2 linked regions of the Elephas maximus indicus genome follow. The protein of the gene in region 1 binds, or shares a complex with, the protein of each later gene. Links are inferred from orthologs where the notes say so. Each region holds a gene or a part of one and is shown in the gene's direction. Other genes may lie near its edges.

Region 1 (11,542 bases):
AATCTTTCAGACAATTTAAAGATTACAAATGTTTAAAAGAAAAAAAAAAAACAACCAAAACTCCTGTTCCTCTGGCTTTGACACCTACAGTTTTATTTCATAAACAAGCATTTATCTATAATATTCCAGATTCTTAGATAATGACAGTTAATTAACTTGACAATAATTGTAGTCTATTTTTCAGAGAATTAAGTGCATAATATGTACCATGCAATCCACCAGGTGCTCCTTGGAAACCCTATGGGGCAGTTCTACTCTGTCCTGTAGGTTTGCTATGAGTCGGGATTGACTTGAAAGCATTTTTTTTTTTTTTAATGTACCATGCACCAGACAAGACTTTGCCCTCAACAACAATATACTTAACACTTAAAATCAAAATTAAATACAGAAATATTCTTTTCAGGAAATGAATGAGAATTGGGCTATTTAAAATATTTATCTGTTTTTTAAATCAAAATGACATATTTTCTTAATCTAAAAGCATTACATGCTTATTACCAAAAATACAGAAAAATAAAAAGAACGAAAGGAAATACACAAGTACACCAACCCAGAGATAAACACGTTGGCAGCTCAGTGGAAAACCATATAGTGCAGGAATTAAGAACTCCGGTTCCAGAGTTAGGCAGTGTGCATTACATTTAGTAGTTCCATCACTTACTGCCTCTGTGACTTTGAACTAGTAATTTAATTTCTCTGTCTCAACTTCCTCATCTGTAAAACAGAGATGTTTTGAAGATTAAATGAGATAAATCATACAACATGCCTGGCATATAGTGAGTGTTCAATGAAATTTACCTCTTGGTTCAATTTTCTAGATACTTTTTGTCTTAGTGTTTGAGTGGGAACGTTGTTGGTTTTGATTTACGTTTGAAAAGAGTGCTGAAAGTCTCAGAAGAAAGTCACTTATAGTCAGCATATGTTTTTCTTCATACTTTTTAAAAACTATGTAAGGAAAAAATTGTGGATAAGATCTTATTATTCTTAAAATCAAGGCTGCTGATTTTAAATCAAGAGCAACCCTTTATTTTGTCCAGAAAGCAAAATACATTTATCATTCAACAATTTTTCACACAGTAATCCATGTTTTAAGCTCTTGCACATGTATTATCTTGCTTAATGCGCACAATAAACAAACCTCTTTTAAACACAAAACACTGGAATTACTTTCGTTTTTTAAAAGCTAACTTCTCCCTTAAATTAATGATGGACAATTGACTTTTGCACTTGCCTCCTAAGACTGTACTTGAGTTTGGGGAGAAGTGAAATTACATCATGTCTTTCTGCTCAATACCAAAAGTTAAAAATCCCATCTTCTTTCCTTCAACTTCTGTCTTGTTTAGAGATCACATCACTCAGGAAATCAGCCAAACTATCAACCTGAGTCATTCTATGCCCACCTCCCACCACCCCACATGTTGCTTGAGTTACTGAGTCCTGTTGGTTGAAATTCTTAAATATCTCTGGAAACAACCCCTTGTTGTCCATCCTCATCGCCACTGCCTTAGTTCAGTTCTGCAGTTTTGCAATGGCTTCTGAACTCATCTCTCTACCTCCATTCTTACACCCTGACCACTGCCAAAGTGAAAACTCTTCTTCGGTCATGCACTGCTTATCAATGGCATAAGGCTTTTCATGATCTGGTCCCTCCCCAGCTAACAAGACACTTATTGATATGCCATAAGCCAAAGTATTAAACTTATGCTGTCACCTCTCAGGTGACTAGAATATGAATGTCCACCCGTTAGTGTTACTTCCTTGCTGTTATTAAGGAAACCAGAAAACTGAATTATTAATCATAGGTAGTACTCAGTAGGCAAAGAACAGAGGGCTTTTTAAAGGGACTTTGTCTTACTTTCCCTTTTACTCCCCACCTTCCATCCCCATGGATACTGCTTTGCATATAGACAGTATTCAGTAAATTTCTCCTTATTGATTTTGAAATGTTCAAAGAAGCCATATGATCTTATGTTCACAGAAAAATAGATCTGTAAGCATATTATTACACATTGCAGGAGTGATGAACAGCTGTTATTTATGAAGCAGAAGATACAAAAAATGTTGAATGAATGAGAAATAGACTTCAACTGAAATAGAAAAGATTTAATTTAGCTCTTGAAACTCATTTCCTGATATGAAACTTACAAGATATTGGAAGACAATACTAAGGGAGGTTGCGAGTTCTCTTTTTTTATGTAACTAAATGATCTTTGAAAGTTTTTCAAGATAGATCAACCACTTTCTTGAAAGCTAAGGGGTATTTCTGATGAGAGTTCTCAACAGTTCAACAGTCTAACATGAGATAGCTTTTTTTTTTTTTTTAAATAAATTTTTATTTTGGGATAATTACAAAGTTACAAAGATAGAATAGCATTTGTGTATACTCTTTATCCAGTTTGCCTTATTGTTAACCTGTTACCCCCGCTGTTAACATGTTACAAAACCAAACCCACAGCTGTGGAGTCAATTCCCACTCACAGCAACCCTTTGTAAACTTCTACAGAAGCAGACTGCCACATCTTTCTCCCGTGGAGCCGCTGGTGGTTTTGAACTGCCAACCTTTCAGTTAGCAGTTGATCGCTTTAACTACTGCACCAGCAGGGCTCCTTTACATTGGTACATTTGTCAAAATTAAGAAACTTAAATAGTACGTTATTATTAACTAAACTCCAGAATTTATTTGGATTTTCCTGTCATGTCATCCTTCTGTTCCAAGAGAGATAGCCTTTTTTATGTTCTTTGAATAGTGTGTAAGACATTGGCCTAAAGATCAAGCTCTGTGCATCCCACTGCAGCATGGGATTACATAAATCTAGAGTTGCTTGGGTCCTTCATTTTGAGGCTTTGGAGTCAACCAGCCTTGAATATGCTCCCCAGCCCTGCCACTTGCAGAGCCAGGTGTTTTCAGGTAAAGTGTTTAATCACCCTGGGCTTCCGTTTCCTCATTTGTAAAATGCAGGTGGTAAGACCTCTTCAACTGTGGTGGTTCCTGAGATCCTCCACAGTAAGAGAATTCAGTGTTGAGAAACTTACTTTAACGTATTATATTAACTTAATACCATCAGGGTAGCACTCTAAATAGAATACCTTTGATATTTTACATATCCTAAACTAGTAATAATGAATATTAATGAAGTAATTTCCATTTATCATGCTTGACTCACCAGAACATTTTTAAAAAATTCCTCCAAGTTTTAATAAGACACTTAAAATATTTTTGCTTTGTTACAGATAATGTTCATGCTGAAAGGCATTTTCCTCCCATAGGTGTCCATTATTCAGAAGTTCAACACTTTTCTGATTTTATGACTAGAAGTTGACTCCCAGGTTCCAGTTTTCATTGATCCCAGACACAGAGTAATGTGGATTTGAAATACTTTAGTTGATTATCCTTTAGTTGTAGACATATATTTCACATTCTTCCCAACAGGTAAGGGGAGTATGTTTGTCTCTGCACATCTTACTTTCTCAGTAGCTGACTCCATACCACTCTCATCTCTCTTCTCACCAACTAAGGAGTGCTTAGCAGTACCTGGCACATTAGGATTCAAACAATAACTGCACTTATTATTATTAAAATCTCAACTTAATTTTTTTTTTAGCTTCCTTATTTTCCTGAGTTTTCATTGCAAAAACCTCTTATTTTGCCTTTACCACACTTTTCTCATTCTCAACCAGGAGTTCTCTTCTTATCTCCAAAACAGTGACTTGCAACCTGCAGATAATGAAATTGATTTTCTCTCTGTGAAAGCATCATGCAGAAGTAATTCACGTATACTAGAATGTTATGGAAGGGGCAGTCTAGACTGGCAATCTTTTGGGTGATGTAACAAAGTAAAAAATGAGAAAATGTACATAAAATCAAGTCCGTGCTCAAAAAATTTGTATCCTTTATTTTTAAAGATGAGGACACTGAGTCACAGAAAGATAACTTGTCACAACCATGTTCTAAAAAAAGGTGGGAGGGGCTAGATTTTATCTCCTGTCATCCTTCTTTTCCTGCTGCTCATTCAGTTACGCGGCTTAATGACCCATGTACCAAATCCGCAAAGTTCACCAATATATTTGGCACCGGTCAAGAGCCCAGATATGGTAATACTCATAAGAGAAGCATTTTGGTGAAGTACAAGTTTTAGTGCTGTCTCAAAAATTTTATTATACCTGATGTGCCCCCCCCCCAAAAAAAATTGTCCGTCGTTTTAGTCTCATCCATTGTTGGAAGCGACCACTGATTTATGGGCCTTGGCGTTGTCTGGGCCTTAATGATCCTTCAGCAATTAAAAAGAGGGCTTCGGCTATAATTCTTGAAGGTCTAGAATCATATTATGATTACAGAATATTCCTACTTAAGCCTTAACCAATATTGGCACCAAGTGGGTGAGAATAAGCATTCATCGCAATAAATACTCATCAGAATAAATATCCACCAAGAATTTAAAATGCATCCTGAGACTAAGACTTGGTAGCGCTTTGGAATCCATCCTGGACTACGGAAACCGACTAGAACTCTACCTGGTTCAACAAACAAGATTTCGAAAAGAGGAGGGGTGTAGAGGAGGCGGGTCCGGATGGACCAGCGCGAGAATACGCTCCGGCGCATGCGCGTCTCCTAGCTAGTAACTTCCATTTCTAGACGGGGGAGGCGAATGGAAAGCTGTCTACAATTTTGGAACATCTATTCCCAAAAGAAAACTAAGTTGTGAAAGATTTCGTGGAAAACCATAAGAGAATTATCCTCCGAGTTGATGACTAAGGATATGCTTCGCACACGCCGCTGAAGCAAGAGGTGACTTCTCGTGTTTTCCCCCGTCCTTTGGGACATTGGTGGTCTAGTCCATTCCACATACTTTCGAGCCCCTGCAGCGGGTCGAGGATCGAAGGTTTGGGCCAATTGCGGCTGAAACGGCTTTGGAAGGAGAAAGAGAGTGAGGGAGAATCCCTCTGAGTTCCATCTCTCCTTTTCGAGGCGGGAGTGGTAAAGGGGACGTACGAAATACTGCCCTCGAAAGCCAACGGATCACACCTCTCCGTGCAAATTGCCAGAGGACTGCGGGAAAAGGGCAAGAGGATAGTAGCGAAAGGGAAGGAGCCAGAAAGCCGCGCGGGAGGGCGCGCGAGCGCGCCCCTTTTTCAGCAGTGTGGCGGGGTCGCACGCACGCCCGCCTCGGCGGCTGGGCGCGGTTTGCGACAGTGGGGGGAGCGGTGGCGGTGGCGGCGGCAGTGGCAGCTTTACGGCAAGCTCTGGCCGGGCTTGCTTGACGGCGGTGTGGCGCAGGCCCCGCCCGAGGCGGCAGGAACCTGGAGGGAGGCGGAGGAATATGTCCGAGAGGGAAGTGTCGACAGCACCGGCGGGAACAGACATGCCTGCGGCCAAGAAGCAGAAGCTGAGCAGCGACGAGAACAGCAACCCAGACCTCTCTGGAGACGAGAATGTAAGTGCAGCCCGGAGCAGTCCGGTCGGTACTCTGGAGTGAAAGTTTTAAATTCTTTTTAAACTGTAGGCGCTGGGGCGGGCGGGCAACCGTAGGGTGGAGGGAGAGGTGTCACCCTCTACTCAGGAAAACGCGGGCGTGGAGGAGAAAATTGAACTTGTCTCTATGGGGATGTTGAGCTGGGGCCGAGGGCAAACAGAAACGTGGGGAAGGAGGGTGATTTAAATGGTTGTTTGATGAGCAGAGGGTCTGAGGTGGTCTGCTCTGAGATCCTCTTGGTGTATGATTGACGGGAGGGAGAGTGTTTAGGCCTTCGGGTGATTTTGGGAGAGTGCGGATCTGAGATTCCAGTAGTTTAAAAGGCGTGTTAGAGATTTTTTAAGAGAGTTGGAAAGAGGGGGATAGTCTGTTAGGGCCTCTTAAGGACTTGGGGGACGGTGTCACTCATAGACCCTTGTGAATTTTCAGGATGGAAAGCATAAATCTTCGACTTATTGGGTTTGGGTAACTTTTAAGGGGATTTTGTGTCTGCTCCTGTCCTGCTCATGGAGATGGAAAAGCAGATTGAGAGTCACCTTCTGACGTGTAGGGGGAATGACTTTGAGGAAGAAATGAGAAGGGATGGTTTCTCCTTTGAAAGTTGTTATTTCAGATAAGCGGGACGACCTAAGAGAATTTAGGCAACTGAGTGGTGAATGCAAATTGGCTTTGGAATCAGACTTTTTTTGTTTAAGTTCTGAGATGGATCTTGGTAATCATGTAGTCCCAACAGTTTACAAAGCTGTGTTTAGATGACTCGCCTGTAAAAACCGAACTGACATTAATAGATGTGGATTGAAGAATGAAATTCACTCTGCAAGTAATCCAGCTAAAATTCTTTTTTTGAAAAATGAATGTATAGGTAAGAGTAAGTGAATGATGATTAGTGAAATATACTTGGAACTTCCAGGTGGTAACAAGAGAAGGAAGTTTCAGATTTATTTAGGATCCCATGGAAAGCCTAATATTGTTTTGGTTTGTGTACCAGCCTTTTTCACTAGAGAAAGGATGGACCTTTTCTCCTTCAATCCTACAGTGTGCTTTCAAATCGCTTGGGTTTTATAAAAGTGGCAAAATAAGTTCAATAGATATTTTGGAGTAATTGATTCTTCACCAGGTACACAGATACTGGTATATAAACCAGGTTCTTGTTCTAAGTTATATCCAGTAAGGTCAGCAAAATGTCCGACTCATAGCAATCCTATAGGACAGAGTTGAACTGCACCATAGAGTTTCCAATGGCTGCTGCCACTTCTTTCTCCCCCAGAGCAGCTGGTGGATTCGAACCACTGACCATTTATTTGGTTAGCAACCAGGTGCTTAACCACTGTTCCACCAGGGCTCCTTAAAATGTCTAAAAGATTGTTCATTCAAGGCTATTACTGCAAAATATGAACCCTTCCTTATCATAGTATAATAATTTCTCAGTGCGTTAAGAATTTTTAAAGGGTTATGCTTGGGTGGTGTAAGTTCTTCATTTTCTGAGTTTGGCTAGTTTTTTAGGAATTGTTATATCTTACACCTTCAGTTCCTAAATTCTATATCATAAACACTGACGCATATATATGGAGACTTTCTTTTTCTTTATTTTGATGAGTAGGTTTGTTAACTTTCTTTGAAATTTATCCCTATCTTCCTAAGTTTAAACCGGTCTTTTATTACTTGGTATTGCCTTGACGTCCTCTCTATTTGGAAGTTCTATACCTGTATTGTTTATTCCCTTTTTTTATTGTTCTGTCATTGTCATTTACAGATCTCTCTGGCTCCGTGTTGTAAATCTTTTAGTTTTGTTTTATCCTTGGGAGTTCATTACCTAGGGTAGTGTCTGACTGATACTGTCTTGTGTCCTAGATTCAGGTTGATGTCTGATATTTTTGGTTCTCTAACTGAAGGACTTTCTTTAATAATTCTTGTAAGCTTGGCTTGGTTTTTACATATTCCCTTAATTTCTGTTTATCTGGAAATGTCCTAATTTTGCCATCATATTTGAGCAAGAGTTTTGCAGGATATATTCTTGGTTGGCAGTTTGTCTTTCAAGGTTTTATGTATGTCATTCCATTGCCTTCTTGACTGCATAGTTTCTGCCCAGTAATCAGAGTATAGTCTTATTGCTTCCCCTTTTGTATGTAACTTAGTTTTTCTGGAACTGCTCTTAGGGTTCTTTGTCTTTGGTTTTAGCAAGCGTGGTTATGATATGTCTTGGTGATTTTCTCTTGGGGTCTATCCAATATGAGGTTTGTTGAACTTCTTGTATGGTCAGCTTTTCGTCTTTAGGGAAGTTTTCTGTCAGCAAGTCTGCAGTGATCCTCTCTGTGTTTTCCATTTTCTCCCACTGTTCTGGAACTCCCATCACATGCAAAGTTTTGCTTTTGATTGTATCCCACATCGTTCTCAGGGTTTCTTCATTTTTCTCCATTCTTTGATATTTCTTCAAAGTGGTGTCCATAGATTTGTCTTCGATTTCACTGATCATATCTCCTGTTGTTTCAGATTTGCTCCTAAAACCTATTGCATTGTCCATTTCTGGAATCTTATTGTCATTTGAATTTCTAATTGCTGTTTTTTTTTTTTTAATGATTTCTAGCTGTTTATTTTGATGTTTTGTTCCTTTATTTTTCTTAATTCTTCCATTGCTTTGTCTTTGTTTTCCCTGATTTTTCTCTATATTTTCCATGATTTTGTCTATTTTTTCCTTATTTTTGTCTGCATTTTCTTCATCTCTTGGAGAACCCTGAATTTTAGAGTTTTGAATTCCCTATCAGGTAGTTTCAGTTCCTTTTCTTCTACCAGAAGGTCATTGGTGTTTTATTTTGGTTGCTTTCTGGAGCCATCCAGTTATGTTTTTTAATGTGTTTTGATATTGTCTGCTGTGGCCTGTACATTCAGGAATTATTTTCTTAGTTTACTGATTGTAGATTTGTTTGTTTCATCCCCCTTTTTTGTTCTATTTGGTTACATCTGGGCAGGCAGGCTGGGAGTGTTTTGTTACTTGCTCACCTGTCGGCATGATACTTCTTTCCACCCAATCCAGGTGAGCAGGTCCGGTCACTCAGCTATGGTGCATCAGGGTAGGTCCAGCGGAAGTGGAGGGGTGGGGATGGGTAGTTTGCAACACAAACTGGGGACTACAAGGCAGGGCTGGGAGCAGTGCTGGGTGAGGTTGGGGCGGATCATGTTGGTGCTGCTCAGGGGCGCAGTGCAGGTAGGCAGGAGGGGCGCAGTGCAGGTAGGCAGGAGGGGAGGGAGAGGATGTGATGCATAGAGCTAAGTGGGTGAGTGAGAGAAGAGAGGAGAGAGAGAAACAAAAGCAAAAAAATGAAGGAAAAAAGTAAAATGACTGGTAGGATTTGGTGAGTAGGGGTGGAGCTGACCCAGCTAGGCCATGTGCTGGTGGCTCTCTAGCCAAGTGGTGCAGCTTGACCTGTTGAAAAGGGGCATGGGTGGTGCACGGGGCTAGGTGGGTGGTAGAAAGGGAAAAAAAGGGGGGGGGGGGGGAGAAGAAACCAACAAACAAAGAAGTAAAGTTAAGAAAATAAAAAATAAATAAAAGCAACAACAACAACAACAAAAATATGGTAGGAAGGGAGCCAGCTGTTGGGGGCGAGGTGGAATTGGGGTGGTGGCAAACTGATGTTTCACTCTGGACATGTCAGGAAGGGGCAGAGGCAGCACAGGGCCTAGGTGGGAGTGAGAAGGAAAAGGAAGAAGGGGAAAGATAAAGAAAAATAAAGAATATGGTGCTGAAGGAGCCAGCCTGTGAATGCGGCACAGACCTGGGGAGGCCGTGTGTCAGAGGCTTTCCAGCCGAGTGGTACAGCACAGCCCACCAAGAAGGGAGGTGTGGTGCATGGGGCTTGGTGGATGGGAGAAAGAAAAAACAACTAAAAAGAAAAACAAACAATATATAAAATGGCACTGAAGGAGCTGGTTGGTCATGGCACTGCACCATGTTCTCTGAAAAAGGGGAGGGGATGGCACACTAGGCTAGCTGGGTGGGAGAAAGGAAAGGAGAGAGAGAGAGAGAAAGGCAACAAAAAAAGCTTAAAAACAAAAAAATGGCGCTGAGGGGGCTGGCTGATGGGGGTGGGGTGGACCCAGGTGGCAGTGAGCTGGTGTGTCACCGGCCAAGTCACTGTGGCCCATTGGAAAGCGATGGAGGCCTTGTACAGGGAAAAAGGGTGGGGGGGTGGGAAAGCATGTATCCCTGGTTACTGGGTGCTCTTTCTCCACGAAGTTGCCTTTCTATACTCCTTGTCTGTGTTCCTTGGTGGCTGTAGTCCAAGATGGCAAATCCGTACTATGTTAGCTGAAAGGGGACCTCTATTCGTAGCCCTCCTTGTTCTTTGTTCTCTGTCAGTTTCTTACTCCACTGGGTGCTTGCTTGAGCTCTTTATTCCTTCATTTGATGCTTAGGGTTCCAGGATTGATGTTTGTATCTGTTTTACTTAGTTTTTCATTTTTCAGGTCTTTGCTGCAGAGGCGTGGCATGCTGCTTCTGTCTATAGCACCATGTTGGCTCTGCCTCCCCTGAATCATATATACAGCATGGTGTCATTACCAAGATTTTCACGGAAGAGGTGGGAAAGGATTCTTTTTGTAGGTTGAAGAAAGATATTTTAGGATTGTCAGCTTGTAGGATCTTAGACTTGAAGTTTCTTGGAAAAGTTTGGGTGTTGAATGTTACTTAAAATCTTTTTTTTTCCTGTTTGTGCTTCCCATATATATTGGGGTCTAACATTTTTGACCCTCTTCATTCTAGCCCTTGGAGCCTGTTACACTTCCTGGATTTTCTTAAACTTCTCTAGACAGATTAGACTAGTGGTTAAGAGCACAGACACTGGATCTAAATGCTGGGTTAAAAATCCTCTTCATTGATTGTTTGACCTTGAGCAAGGTACTTAACCTCTGCCTCAGTTTCTTATTCAAAAAATGGGAATGATAATGATACAAAGAGTACTTAATCTCCGTCTCAGGTTTCTTATCTGAAAAATGAAGATGTTAATGGTGCAAACAGTTAAACACTGGACTACTAGCCAAAGGATTGGCAGTTTGAAAGCACCTCAGAAGACAGGCCTGGAGATTTGCTTCCAAAAGATCACAGCCTTGAAAACATTATGGAGCAGTTCACTCTGCATGCATGGGGTTGTGGGATCAATTGGTCTGCAAGTAACAACAGTGGTATTTACTTCTTGGGATCTTTTTGAGAATTAAATGAAATAATATAGGTAAAGGAAACCCTGGTGGTGTAGTAGTTAAGTGCTACTGCTGCTAACCAAAAGGTCTGCAGTTCAAATCCACCAAGTGCTCCTTGGAAACTCTATGGGGCAGTTCTACTCTGACCTATAAGGTCACTGTGAGTCGGAATCGACTCGACGGCAACGGGTTAATATAGGTAAAGGGCTTAGAACAGTACCTATTCCATAATAGGTACTACCAAAAATAAAAATAAAAACCTGTTGCCATAGAGTTGGTTCCGACTTATAACGACCCTATAGGACAGAGTAGAATTGCCTCATTGAGTTTCCAAGAAGCAGCTGATGGATTCTTAACTGCCAACCTTTTGGTTAGCAGCCCTTTTGGTTAGCAGCTGTAGCTCTTAACTGCCGTGCCACCAGGGTTTCCAATAGGTACTATACAAATGTTAGTTATTTATAATAGTTATTTTGTGATCATGTAGTCCACACTCCCTTATACTTAATAATCAGGCAGAATGTAACGAATATGCCAGTAACCTGTTTAGACTGAGAAAAAAAATCAGGACCAAATAAATTGAAAGTTTATTTTCTTTTTGCAGACCATTAAAGGGAATATTGGAAACTCTGGTGGTGTAGTGGTTAAGTGCCGTGGCTGCTAACGAAAAGGTCGGCAGTTCAAATCCACCAGACACTCCCTGGAAACTCTATGGGAAATTCCACTCTGTCCTATAGGGTCCCTGTGAGTCAGTAGTCTTTGGTGTATTTTAAAGCTATTCAGAACCAAAGAACTGGATTAAGCCTTTGTTTACGTTCCTCCATTTGAATATGACTTAAGCTTTTTTGTGCCATGGGCCCTTTAGTCCTGTGGATCTTTTC
Region 2 (11,542 bases), on another chromosome or scaffold:
AAAGGAGTGGGGCAGGGGTGATGGTACTGTTTTTCAAAGGTCCAGTTGTTGACATCTGGCCAACAGCTTTTCTACGAATTTACAGGACAAAGACCTGAAGGGCTGAAAAACAAAAAGAATTGTAGGGAAGAGGTAGCCAAACAAAGATTGGCTGCTAGTGCCACATGGAACTCAGTCAACTAAGAAAGAGTCTGGTCTCAAGAAAAACGTTCTCCCATCACAATGTGAAGGAAGCAACAGGCAAACAAATTTTCCCCAAGAACCCTAAGCTTATTGGTAATGCAGAAGGTTGTTTTCATAAACCTTTAGTGAATAAGAATTACTGAGCCCTGTGTTCAGTCCTGTGCCAGATATGAAAGGATACAGATGTAAAGTGGGACTGAAATGGAAGCACCCAGGAGATCCATGAGGGCTGTGAGGCTTAATGAAGTGGTGGAGCTGGAGCTGGGCTGTAAGAATGACCTAAATAAATCCAAATCTCACTTTCCTTCTTTTCTACCTCCAAATATTTCCATAACAATTGTTGTCCAGGTGACTCTGGCTCATGGAAACTGGAATAGAGTAGACCTCTATGTGCAGAGTAGAACTGTTCCATGGGGTTTTCAAGGCTGTGACCTTTTGGAAGCAGATCACCAGGCCTGTCTTCTGAGTCACCTCTGGGTAGGTTTAAACTGCTAACCTTTTGACTAGTAGTCTAGCGCTTAACTGTACCACTCGGGGACTTCTATAAGCATACTTTCCTTGTTATCTCAAAACTTCTTAGTGTCTCTCCTCTTATTGCCTGACATACTCTTTTAAGGCAATGTTGTCTGCTTCCATGGCTTCAGTTACCATCAAAATACTGATGATTCCCAAATTCCTCATCAGCCTGTCTCCTGACATCCAGATCTCCTGAATATCTCTTCTTAAATAACCCACATTCTTCCTTTCTTTTAGCAATTATTTATGCAGTACATACAATAGTTCTAAAACTTGCCTACACATTAAACTCACCTGGAAAGCTTTTAAAACTCTTGAAGCCCAGGCTATCCCCCAGATCAATTAATCAGACTCTCTGGGTGTGGGAATTGGGCATCGGTATTTATTAAGATGTTTACCTGTGTTTTATTGACTATGCAAAGGCATTTGACTGTGTGGATCATAACAAATTATGGATAACATTGTGAAGAACAGGAATTCCAGAATACTTAATTGTGCTCATCAGGGACCTGTACACAGATCAAGACGCAGTCATTTGAACAGAACAAGGGTGTCTTAGTTACCTAGTGCTGCCGTAACAGAAATACCACAAGTGGATGGCTTTAACAAAGAGAAATTTATTTCCTCACAGTAAAAAAGGCTAAAAGTCTAAATTCAGGGTGCCAGCTCCAGGGGAAGGCTTTCTCTCTCTGTCGGCTCTGGAAGACGGTCCTTGTCCTCAATCTTCCCCTGGTCAAGGAACTTGTCAGGCGCAGGGACCCCAGGTCCAAAGAATGTGCTCTGCTCCTCGTGCTACTTTCTTGGTGGTATGAGGTCCCAACTCTCTGCTTGCTTCCCTTTCCTTTTATTTCTTGAGATAAAAGGTGGTGCAGGCCACACCCCAGGGAAACTCCCTTTACACTGGAACAGGCAGGTGACCTGAGTAAGTGTGGTGTTACAATCCCACCCTAATCCTCTTAACATAAAATTACAATCACAAAATGGAGGACAACCACACAATACTGGGAATCATGGCCTAACCAAGCTGACACATATTTTTGGGTGGACACAATTCAATCCATGACAAAGGGGATAGAGCATGTTTAAAGTCAGGAAAATTGTGCACCAGCCTTGTATCTTTTCACCATGCCTATTCAATCTGTATGCTGAGCAAATAATCTGAGAAGCTGGACTCTATGAAGAAGAACGGGGCATCAGGATTGGAGGAAGATGAAGTAACACCTGCATTATGCAGATGACACAACCTTCCTTGCTGAAAATGAAGAGGACTTGAAGCACTTACTAATGAAGATCAAAGCTCACAGCCTTCACTGTGGATTACACCTCGACATTAAGAAAACAAAAATCCTCACAACTGGACCAATAAGCAACATCATGATAAATGGAGAAAAGATTGAAGTTGTCATGGATTTCATTTTACTTGGGTCCACAATCAACACCCACGGAAGCAGCAGTCAAGAAATCAAAAGACGCATTGCATTGGGTAAATCTGCTGCAAAAGACCTCTTTAAAGTGTTGAAAAGCGAAGACTAAGTTGTGCCTGACCCAAGCTATGTTTTTTTCAATTGCCTCATATGTATGCGAAAGCTGGACAATGAATAAGAAGACTGAAGAATTGACATCTTTGGATTGTGGTGTTGGGGAAGAATATTGAATATACCATGGACTGCCAAAAGAATGAACAAACCTGTCTTGGAAGAAGTACAACCAGAATGTTCCTTAGAAGCAAGGATGGCGAGACTCTGTCTCACATACTTTGGATGTGCTATCAAGAGGGTCAGTCCCTGGAGAAGGACATCATGCTTGATAGAGGGTCAGAGAAAAAGAGGAAGACCCTCAATGAGATGGATTGACACAGTGGCTGCAACAATGGGCTCAAGCATAACAATGATTGTGAGGATGGTGCAGGACCGGGCAGTGTTTCCTTCTGTTGTACATGGGGTCACTACGAGTCAGAACCAGCTCAACCGGCACCTAACAACAGCAACAACAGGTGATTTCAGTGTAAGCCAAGTTTGAGAACCATTGATTTAAAAAGCAGTGGGGATGGAAACTGCAAATATGAAGGAATATTTGCCATAATTTGGTAGTTAATCAGATGGGAGTGAGGGAAAAACAGCAAGATCAAAGTTTCTGATACAAGTGAAGGAACACTGAATCTGGAATTCAAAGACCCGAGTTTAAGATTCTGTGTAAGGCAGGTCTTTTAACTCTCTTGTGCCAGAACAATCTCATGTGTAAAACTGAAATGCGTTCATCTCCTTCATAGGGCTGTGGTGAAGATTATTTGAAAATAAATGTACATGAAAGGCTTTTGTAATTGTACAGTTGGAAGCAAATGCAAGATATTATTTTGTATTTTAATTTTTTAACTTGATATTTTGAAATAATTTCAGACTTACAAAAGAGTTGCAAATATAGTACAGAAAGTGTCTCTATATCCTTCACCTAAATTCCTCAATCGTTAGCATCTTACATAACCATAGTACAGTTATCAAAACCAGGAATTAACATTGATGATACTTTTTTTTTTTACTGTACTTTAGATGAAGGTTTACAGAACTAGCATCTTATTAAACAGCACACATATTGTTTTATGTCATTGGTTTTCAACCCCACGACATGTCAACACTCTCCCTTCTCTACCTTGGGTTCCCTATTAGCAACTTTCCTGTCCCCTCCTGTCTTCTAGTCCTTGCCCCTGGTCTGGCGTGTCCCTTCAGTCTCATTTTGTTTTATGTGCCTGTCTAATTTTTGGATGAAGGGTGAACCTCAAGAATGACTTCATTACTGAGCTAAAACGGTGTCTGGGGGCCATACACTTGGGTTTCTCCAGTCTCTGTCAGGCCAGTAAGTCTGGTCTTTTTTTGCGAGTTAGAATTTTGTTCTACATTTTTCTCCAGCTCTGTCTGGGACCCTCTATTGTGATTCCTGTCGGAGCAGACAGGCACTATCTAGTTGTACTGGACTCAGACTGGTGGAGGCTGTGGTAGTTGTGGTCCATTAGTCCTTTGGACTAATCTTTCCCTTGTGTCTCTAGTTTTCCTCCTTCTCCTTTGCTCCTGAAGGGGTGAGACCAGTATAGTATTTTAGATGGCTGCTCACAGGCTTTTAAGACCCCAGATGCTACTCACCAAAGTAGAATGTAGAACATTCTCTTTATGAACTATGTATGCCAATTGAACTAGATGTTCCCTGAGACCAGGGTCCCCACAGCCCTCAGCCCAGTAACTTGGTCCCTCAGGGAGTTTGGATGTATCTATGGAGCTTCCATGACCTTGCCTTGTACAAGTTGTTCTGGTATCCCCAGTATTGTGTACTGTCTTACCCTTCACCAAAGTTACCTCTTGATAAGATACTATTAACTAGTTCACAGACCTTATTCTAATATCAACAATTTTCCCACTACTGTTCTTTTTCTGGGCCAGGGTTCAATCCAGGGTCACAAATTACCTTTTGTTGTCATGTCTCCTTAGTCTCCCTCAATCTGGGACAGTCTCTTGTCCTTTCTTTCTTTCATGACCTTGTCACTTTTGAACAGTGCTGGTCAGTTGTTTTGTAGATTACTCCTCAATTTGAGTTTGAGTGTTTCCTCATGATTAAAGTCAGGTTATGCATTTTTGGCAAGAACACTACAGAAGTGATTTTGTACCCTTCTCAGTGCTTCATACTGGAAGGTACCTGATAAGAATAAGTCTCAACATTGGTAATGTTAACTTTGATCATTTAGTTAAGGTGGTGTCTGCTAGGTTTCTCCCCTGTAAAGTTACTATTTTTTTCTCCTTTTTAACTAATAGGGATCTTGTAAGGAGATAATTTGATATAATACTAAATTTTTAAATTTAGGTGACTGGGAAAACTATTTGCATAAATAGGTAAGTCAGGTGTAAACAAAGCAACAGGGTAGTTTAGAGCTTATAGAGTAACTTAGAACTTCATAGGTAGGTGTGAAGCGGTCAGTACGAAGAGGCTCCAGGTTGGCTTCAAATGTCGAAGTGAGACATAGCTGTCACCAAAGTGTGGGGATGGTGGAACCCTTGGATAAGGTCAAGACTCAGAAAGAGATCCACAGAGCCCTTCCTCTGCCTGACAGGGCCGCCTTGGAAATCGTAGCGCTCGCGCCGCACCACCCTGGGTTCCGGACTCCCGACTACTGGCGCCAAAGGGCAAACTTGCGAAGGAAACCCTGGCGGCCGGGTCGCCGGCCCAACGCGCACGCGCCGGGAGGAGGCGTGAGGCGGGGCCGCGGCGCGGGGGCGGGGCCGAGGCGCGCAGGCGCGCTGGCGGCGGGTCCCTGCGGCTCAGGATGGAGGGTGAGTGAGTAAACAAGCCGGGACCGGGCGGTGGGGCCGGGCCTCCCCGCTTCGTCGCCCCCAGCCTGAGGCGGGGAGAGGCGAAGGGATCGGGGAATTGGGAAGAAGCGGAGAGATACACTGCCTGCCTAGGCGGGGTGCCGGGGCGCCCCCTCCCCGCTCCGAGGGCTGCGGGAAAAGGGGCGATGGGATGAGGGAGCCCCAGGCGAGGAGGCGTCTGAGGCGGGGAGGGTGGCGTGTCCGGGAGGAGGAGCGGCGGGGGCGGGCCCGGGACGGGGAATCCCGTTGGAGGGCCGGGTGGGCCGGGTGGGCGGGAGTCCCAGCTCGGAGCCGGCGCGGGTGGGCGGGGGCGCCTGCGGGGCCCTTAGCGCGGGGTCGTCTCCTGGGGACCTGGGGCTGTGCACGACGAGGGCCAGTGACAGGGGTTCAGCTTGCGATGGCTTTGGGGGGTCATGGCAGTAAAAGGAAGGGGTGGCAGTAATAGCAGGACCATGAGTAGGATGAGGAGTGAGGCGCCTAAGGCGCAGGATTAAGGGGCGCTCACTCTCAGGGTCGTGCAAGTGCAGGGTGAGTGCCTGAGAACGCCCCACTTGCTTCACCCTTGTCCCAGCCTGGAGGAAGAGGCTGCCTCCCCCTCGAATGATCACATTCGTCAATCCCTGCCCACCCCCGGGGTTTTTCTAAGGATCAAATGATAAGTGAAAGCTCCTTGAAGCAAAGGCAAAGTGTATTTGTGACGTGCCAGTTAGGAAATGTGGGACAAATTTTTATTGTGGTAAAAAGTTACTACTGAGGAATTGCCCCGGGGGCAGCGAGGGGAAGTGGTACAAGGATGTTAATGTCGCTGGTGGAATACTGTGGGTGGTCTTTTGAAAGGTGAAATATAAGATTGTAACTGGAGTAGCCTGGGTATTTTTGTTTAGCAGCTAGAGGGGTTGAGGATGAGGGTAAAGAGCCTAAGTAGACAAACGGTTGTAAGCAAGGATGGCGTTGAAAGTGAGTGTCTTCCTCCACGTTTGCTGCCATGTCTTTGAAGAGAAAAATCCTCTCACCCCGTGCTTTTGAGCTAAGGGAGGCGGTATTCAATGAAGTTTCCAGCCTGAAAATTTGCTAACTCGACCAGGGGTTTCTGAGAGAGCTTGTCTATTTTAAGCTTTGGAATCCCCCAGGGCTGGGATGGTGTGACATTGATACAAGAGATTACTTAGTTACACAGAAGAATGTGTGCTGTGAAATCCACTTTTTTTTTTTTTTACACATTTGTAATAGAGGAAAAGACCATCTATAAAAAGTAATAAAGCTGTTATTGTTAGAGTTTATGCAGAGTGGGCGTATCACAGTGTGAATTAACTCCCTGAGGGCAGGGGTGTTTGTTTTATTCACTGATATGCCCCAAGCACCTAAGACAGTGCCAGGCACATACTAGGTACTCAGTACATATTTTTGAATGAATAAATAGTAGAAAGTTTGGCGGGGGGGGGGGGGGGTGGTGGGAACGGAGGCACCAGGGGACTGAGACTGGGAGCTAGGAGATTTGGACCCTGCCTGTTGCTATATGGCAGAGCTGTTGTAGGCCAGTCATGAAACTTGATGCTAAGGCATGGCTTCAAAACTCCCTGAAGTGTAAATGACCTCTTTGATGTAATGACTACTTTAGTGTCCATTAAAACAGTGCTAGAATAAAGGAGTCTGGAATTAAAAATGAAATTTTATCCTCTAGAAGACTTTTGAGAAAGGGAAAGTTAAGAAAATGTAGTCAAACTTATTTCTCTTATACTTGTCTTTGAATTGGCATGCTTAAAAAAATATATCGAAAATGTTAATTCTGTCTATTTAATTCTTGGGATCTGAAACCTGGGCTTCTTAGTCCTGTGGGCAACAGTTGGTTCCAGTGATTTGTGCATAATATGAAACATGTAACAATTCATTTAGTTGTTCCGCCCCCTCTTCCCCCTCCCTCAGTCTTAGACTAAGTTTAAAAGTTTCTTTCTACTTAGTTCACTAGCAACTTCCCAAAAAAAGGTTTGAGGCAGCAACATTAAAAACACATTATATTTCTACATGGGAAAGTTAACTAAAGATAAACAAACAAACAAACAAAAACCAAACCCAGTGCCATGGAGTCGATTCCGACTCATAGCGACCCTAAGAGAAGAAAAAAACAAAAACCTCTATTCCAGAAAGCTTCCAATGCTTTTCTTTCTTCTTTGTTCAAACTAGGTATTGGGTTCCTAACTATCTCTTTATAACTTGATCAGCAGTTGGGACTTCAGTGCCCCAAATCTTAATGTCAGGAGTTACTTAATGGGTAGTTGGAGTTTTGGTGGCATACTAGTTAAGACCAAAAGGTCGGCAGTTCAACTCCACCAGGTGCTCCTTGTAAATCCTGTGGGACAGTTTTACTGTGTCCTATGGGGTGGCTATCAGTTGGAATTGACTTGATGGCAATTTTTTTTTTTTTTGATGTTTGATGTGTTCTGTTCTCTGATACACATGCCCTAATACTTTGATTCAAAATGAACACATTAAAAAGTCTTGTTTTTATTGGATGATAATGAGCAGTCACTGAATATTAAGCTTTGTGCTGGTGCAGTACAGAACCAGTCAAGGAGATTGCTTTGTTAACTAACTCTTCTGAATCAGCATTGTCCATCCTACATGGCAGCGTTTTCCTTTTGGTCTCATAAGAATTAATCCTGCTTTGATTTTTATCACCATTGTCTCTGATGCAGTTGACCTGATTCCCTTAATGAAACAACAATAGAAAATACTAATGCTGTAATATTATTTTCAATGAGAATGCAGGGTCACAGGCTTCTGTTAGTAAGGTAATGAGAACAAACATAAATACCTTGGAGAAATGGAAGAGTACAAGTTAAAGATGTGCTTGATAACCAGTTGAGGAATCTTATCAGGCTGTGCACCTAGACACAGAGTTGGTTTTAATGGGAACATTGATGAAATTAGTGATCCCCAAAATGACTCAATTGTGTGTTACTAGAGCTCTTTGTAAGGAGCCGTGGTGGTGCAAAGGTTAAGCACTCAGCTGCTAAACGAAACAAACGGTCAGTAGTTCAAATCCATACTTACCCACTAGGTGTTATAGATTGAATTGTGTACCCCCCCGCCCCAAAATCTGTGTCAGCTTGGCTAGGCCATGATTCCTAGCATTGTGTGATTGTCCACCATTTTGTCATCTGATGTGATTTTCCTATGTGTTGTAAATCCTACAGCTCTATGATATTGAGTTGGGATTAGTGGCAGTTATGTTAATGAAGCAGGACTCAATCTACAAGATTTTAGGTTGTGTTTTAAGTCAACCTTTCTTGAGATATAAAAGAGATAAGTGAGCAGAGAAACATGGGGACCTCATACCACCAAGAAACAAAAGCCAGGAGAATAGTGCGTCCTTTGGACCTGGGGCCCCTGCAGTGACAAGCTCCTCGACTGGGGGAAGATTGAAGACAAGGACCTTTCCCCAGAGCCGACAGAGAGAGAAAAAGCCTTCTTCCCCTGGAGCTGGCACTCTGAATTCAGACTTCTAGCCTCCTAGACTGTGAGAGAATAAGTTTCTTGGTTAAAGCCATCTACTTGTGGTATTTCTGTTATAGTAGCTGAGATATCAAGTGATCGGCTGCTGTAAAGATTACAGCTTAGAAAACCATATGGGGCATTTCTACTTATAGTGTAGGTCACTATGAGTCAGAATTGACTGGATGGCACACAACAACAGAGGTCTTTGCAGGGGTAGTTTCACCTCTACTGTTCAAGTCTCAGACTCTGCTCTGATTTTAAAAGGAAGGAATGAGATGGAAAATTTAAAAACCTACAGTGCCAACTGCTTCTGAGCCTTATTTAGCCTGCTGGTTAATAAAACTATTTGTTATAAAAGAGAAAGTAGTAATGATAATTGAACTTGCCCCTAAGGCAAAGAAGCTGTTTCTACAAAGGGACACCTTTCTGTGGATGAAAAAACCTCATAGTTAGGAATTTTAAAATTCTGATCTCAATCTGCCTAAGTTTAAGAATAAACCAATATATAAAAAAAAAGTGCTGCTTAAATGTTGTATTGCCAAACAATTTCAATAATGTTTTCCCATTTCCAACAGAGTACATTCTAGTTTTAGCCTTTGAAGAAACTCGAGATCCAATTTTCAGGGGAAAGATTTTGAAGTTTTTGTAACGTTCTTTTCCTGTAGAGATTTGGCATGTAAAGAAGATAGTTCTCATTTTCAATGACTAATCTTTTTTTAAATAAACTTCATTTTTTAGAACAATTTTAGATTTACCGAAAAAAAAAAAAAATTGTAAAGATAGTATAGAGAGTTCCATAAACACCAAACCCAGCTTCCCTGGTTATTAACACCTTACATTGGTATGGTACATTTGTTACAATTAATGAACCAATACTGTTCAATCTTTTATTATTATTCATTCTGAAGTCACACAGGAGTTGTTTTTTTTTTTTTTTTTAAAGGGTGGAATTGCCTACAGAATTTTAATAGTTAAGCCAAAGATTAGACAGGCCCATAAAACAAACAGTAAAAAAACATAGCTCAACCACGTATATGAGACTAAAGGGGCACACCAGCCCACGGGCAAGGATGAGAAGGCAGGAGGGGACAAGATAGCTGGACAAATGGAAATGGGGAACCCAGGTCAAGAAGGGGAGAGTGTTGACACGTTGCAGGGTTGGCAACCAGTGTCACAAAATAATAGGTGTATTGTTTAATGAGAAACTAATTTGTTCAGGTAAACCTTCATCTAAAGCACAATTAAAAAAAAAGAATTTTAATAGTTAAGTGTCTAGAAAATACTGGATTGATCTCTTATCAGCAAAAACTTATTTTTCTTTAGTCAGCTTTTTTGAGGAAAAAATCTATGTATAATAAATTCACCCAGTTTATGTATATAGTTCAGTGAATTTTGATAGAAGTATATGGTCATCTAACTATCACCACAACCAAGGTATAGAACATTTTCAGCATCCCAGTGAAGTTTTTTCGCTCTCCTTTCCATTCAGTCACTTCCTATACCCCAGCCCCTGGCAACCACTAATCTGCTTCTGTCATTATAGTTTTGCCTTTTCTAGAATCATTGTAGTAGAATGTCATATAAGGGGAATCACATAGCTTTTTGTCTCTGGTTTTCTTCACTTAACATAATGCTTTTGAGATACATGTTGCATATATCTTATTGCTGAGTAGTACCTCATTGTCTGTGTATGCTACATTGTGTATCCATTTACCAATACATGGATCTTTGGACTGTTTCTAGTTTTTTACTATTATAAATAAAGCTGCTATGAACATCTGTGTACAAATCTTTATGGGGACATCTTTTTTAAATTTCTCTTGGATAAATAATTAGGAATTATATACCAGGTCATATGGCAAGTATGTATTTATAAGAACAGGCAAACCGTTTTCCAAAGTGGCTGTACCATTTTATATTCTCACTAGCAATGCATGAAGATTCCAGTGTTCTGTGTCTCACCAACATTTGGTATTACCAGTCAGTCTTTTTGATTTTATCCATTCTAGTGGGTATGTAGGAACCCTGGTGGTACAGTGGCTAAGCACTCAGCTGCTAACTAAAAGGTTGGTGGTTCAAAGCCACCAGCCGCTCCCTGGGAGAAAAGACCTGGTGATCTGCATAAAGATTTGCAGCCTAGGAAAGCCTATGGGGCAGCTCTGTCATTGGGTTGCTGTGAGTAGGAATCTACTCCATGGCACACAACAGCAGCAGTGGGTGTGTAATAGTATCTCACTGTGGTTTTGATTTACACTTCCCTCATGACCAATAGGAGTCATGCTAAGCCTTGGCTACTAACCAACAGATTGGTGGTTCAGATCCACCCAGAGGTAGCTCCGGAAGCAAGGCCTGACTGTCTGCCTCTGAAAGGACACAGCCATGAAAAGCCTATGGAGGGCACAGTTCTACCCTGAAGCAGAGGGGTCACCATGAGTCAGAATGACTAGACAGCAACTTTTTTTTTTTTTTTTTTGAGAGAGAGTGTTTAATGACTAATGACGTTCGAGCATCTTTTTGTATGCTTATTTGCCGAGTTATATCTTTTTTTGGCGAAGTGTCTGTTCAAATTTTTCTCCCCCTATTTGTTGGGTTGTTTGTCTTCTTGATATTGGGTTGTAATAGTTATTTATATAAAGACTCATTTTTAAACTTCTTGACCAAAACAGCCTATGTTTTGGAGTTTATTTGCAATTTATAAGTGAATGTAATGAAAGGTTCTTAAGTACTAGCTTAGTACTTAGCTGCAATATAAATACTTTTTTGTATATGCAAATAACCAAAGAATAGATCTAGTAGAAATATAAAGTACTTTATGTGTGCCACTCCCTTTGCCCAGGATGAATGAACCCACTTCTCTAAACCCTTTCTAGTGAATGCAGTTTTTTTTTTCCCCCTTCCTTTGAACTTTGAAGCGATAGTTGTTTGTTAGGATTCAACTGCTGTGAAAACCCATCCTATGGCTGTGTTTCAGGTGTTTAATCATACCTATCTGTTCC

The links.
Region 2: the proteins of EED (region 1) and EZH1 are in contact, whole or in part, in a cryo-EM structure (PDB 7KTP), measured with the Homo sapiens proteins. The link is inferred for Elephas maximus indicus from reciprocal best matches to the Homo sapiens genes EED and EZH1. Residues at the interface, in NP_003788.2 of Homo sapiens: Cys84, Val85, Asn86, Ser87, Leu88, Lys89, Glu90, Asp91, Trp103, His104, Ser105, Lys106, Glu107, Val112, Arg120, Leu123, Tyr124, Gln129, Gly130, Glu131, Ile132, Arg133, Leu134, Leu135, Gln136, Ser137, Tyr138, Val139, Asp140, Tyr154; in NP_001982.2 of Homo sapiens: Gly37, Ala38, Lys39, Leu41, Tyr42, Val43, Asn45, Phe46, Lys48, Val49, Gln50, Lys52, Thr53, Gln54, Leu56, Asn57, Glu59, Trp60, Leu63, Arg64, Val65, Gln66, Pro67, Val68, Gln69, Ser70, Met71, Cys83, Thr84, Ile85.

The regions. Positions count from the first base shown.
Region 1 is NC_064825.1:35,345,261-35,356,802, reverse strand, and holds the start of EED (polycomb protein EED), read left to right. Parts: upstream 1-4,945; 5' UTR 4,946-5,318; coding exon 5,319-5,432; intron 5,433-11,542. UniProt on the Homo sapiens protein: Polycomb group (PcG) protein. Component of the PRC2/EED-EZH2 complex, which methylates 'Lys-9' and 'Lys-27' of histone H3, leading to transcriptional repression of the affected target gene.
Region 2 is NC_064837.1:49,586,444-49,597,985, reverse strand, and holds the start of EZH1 (histone-lysine N-methyltransferase EZH1), read left to right. Parts: upstream 1-4,928; 5' UTR 4,929-5,012; intron 5,013-11,542.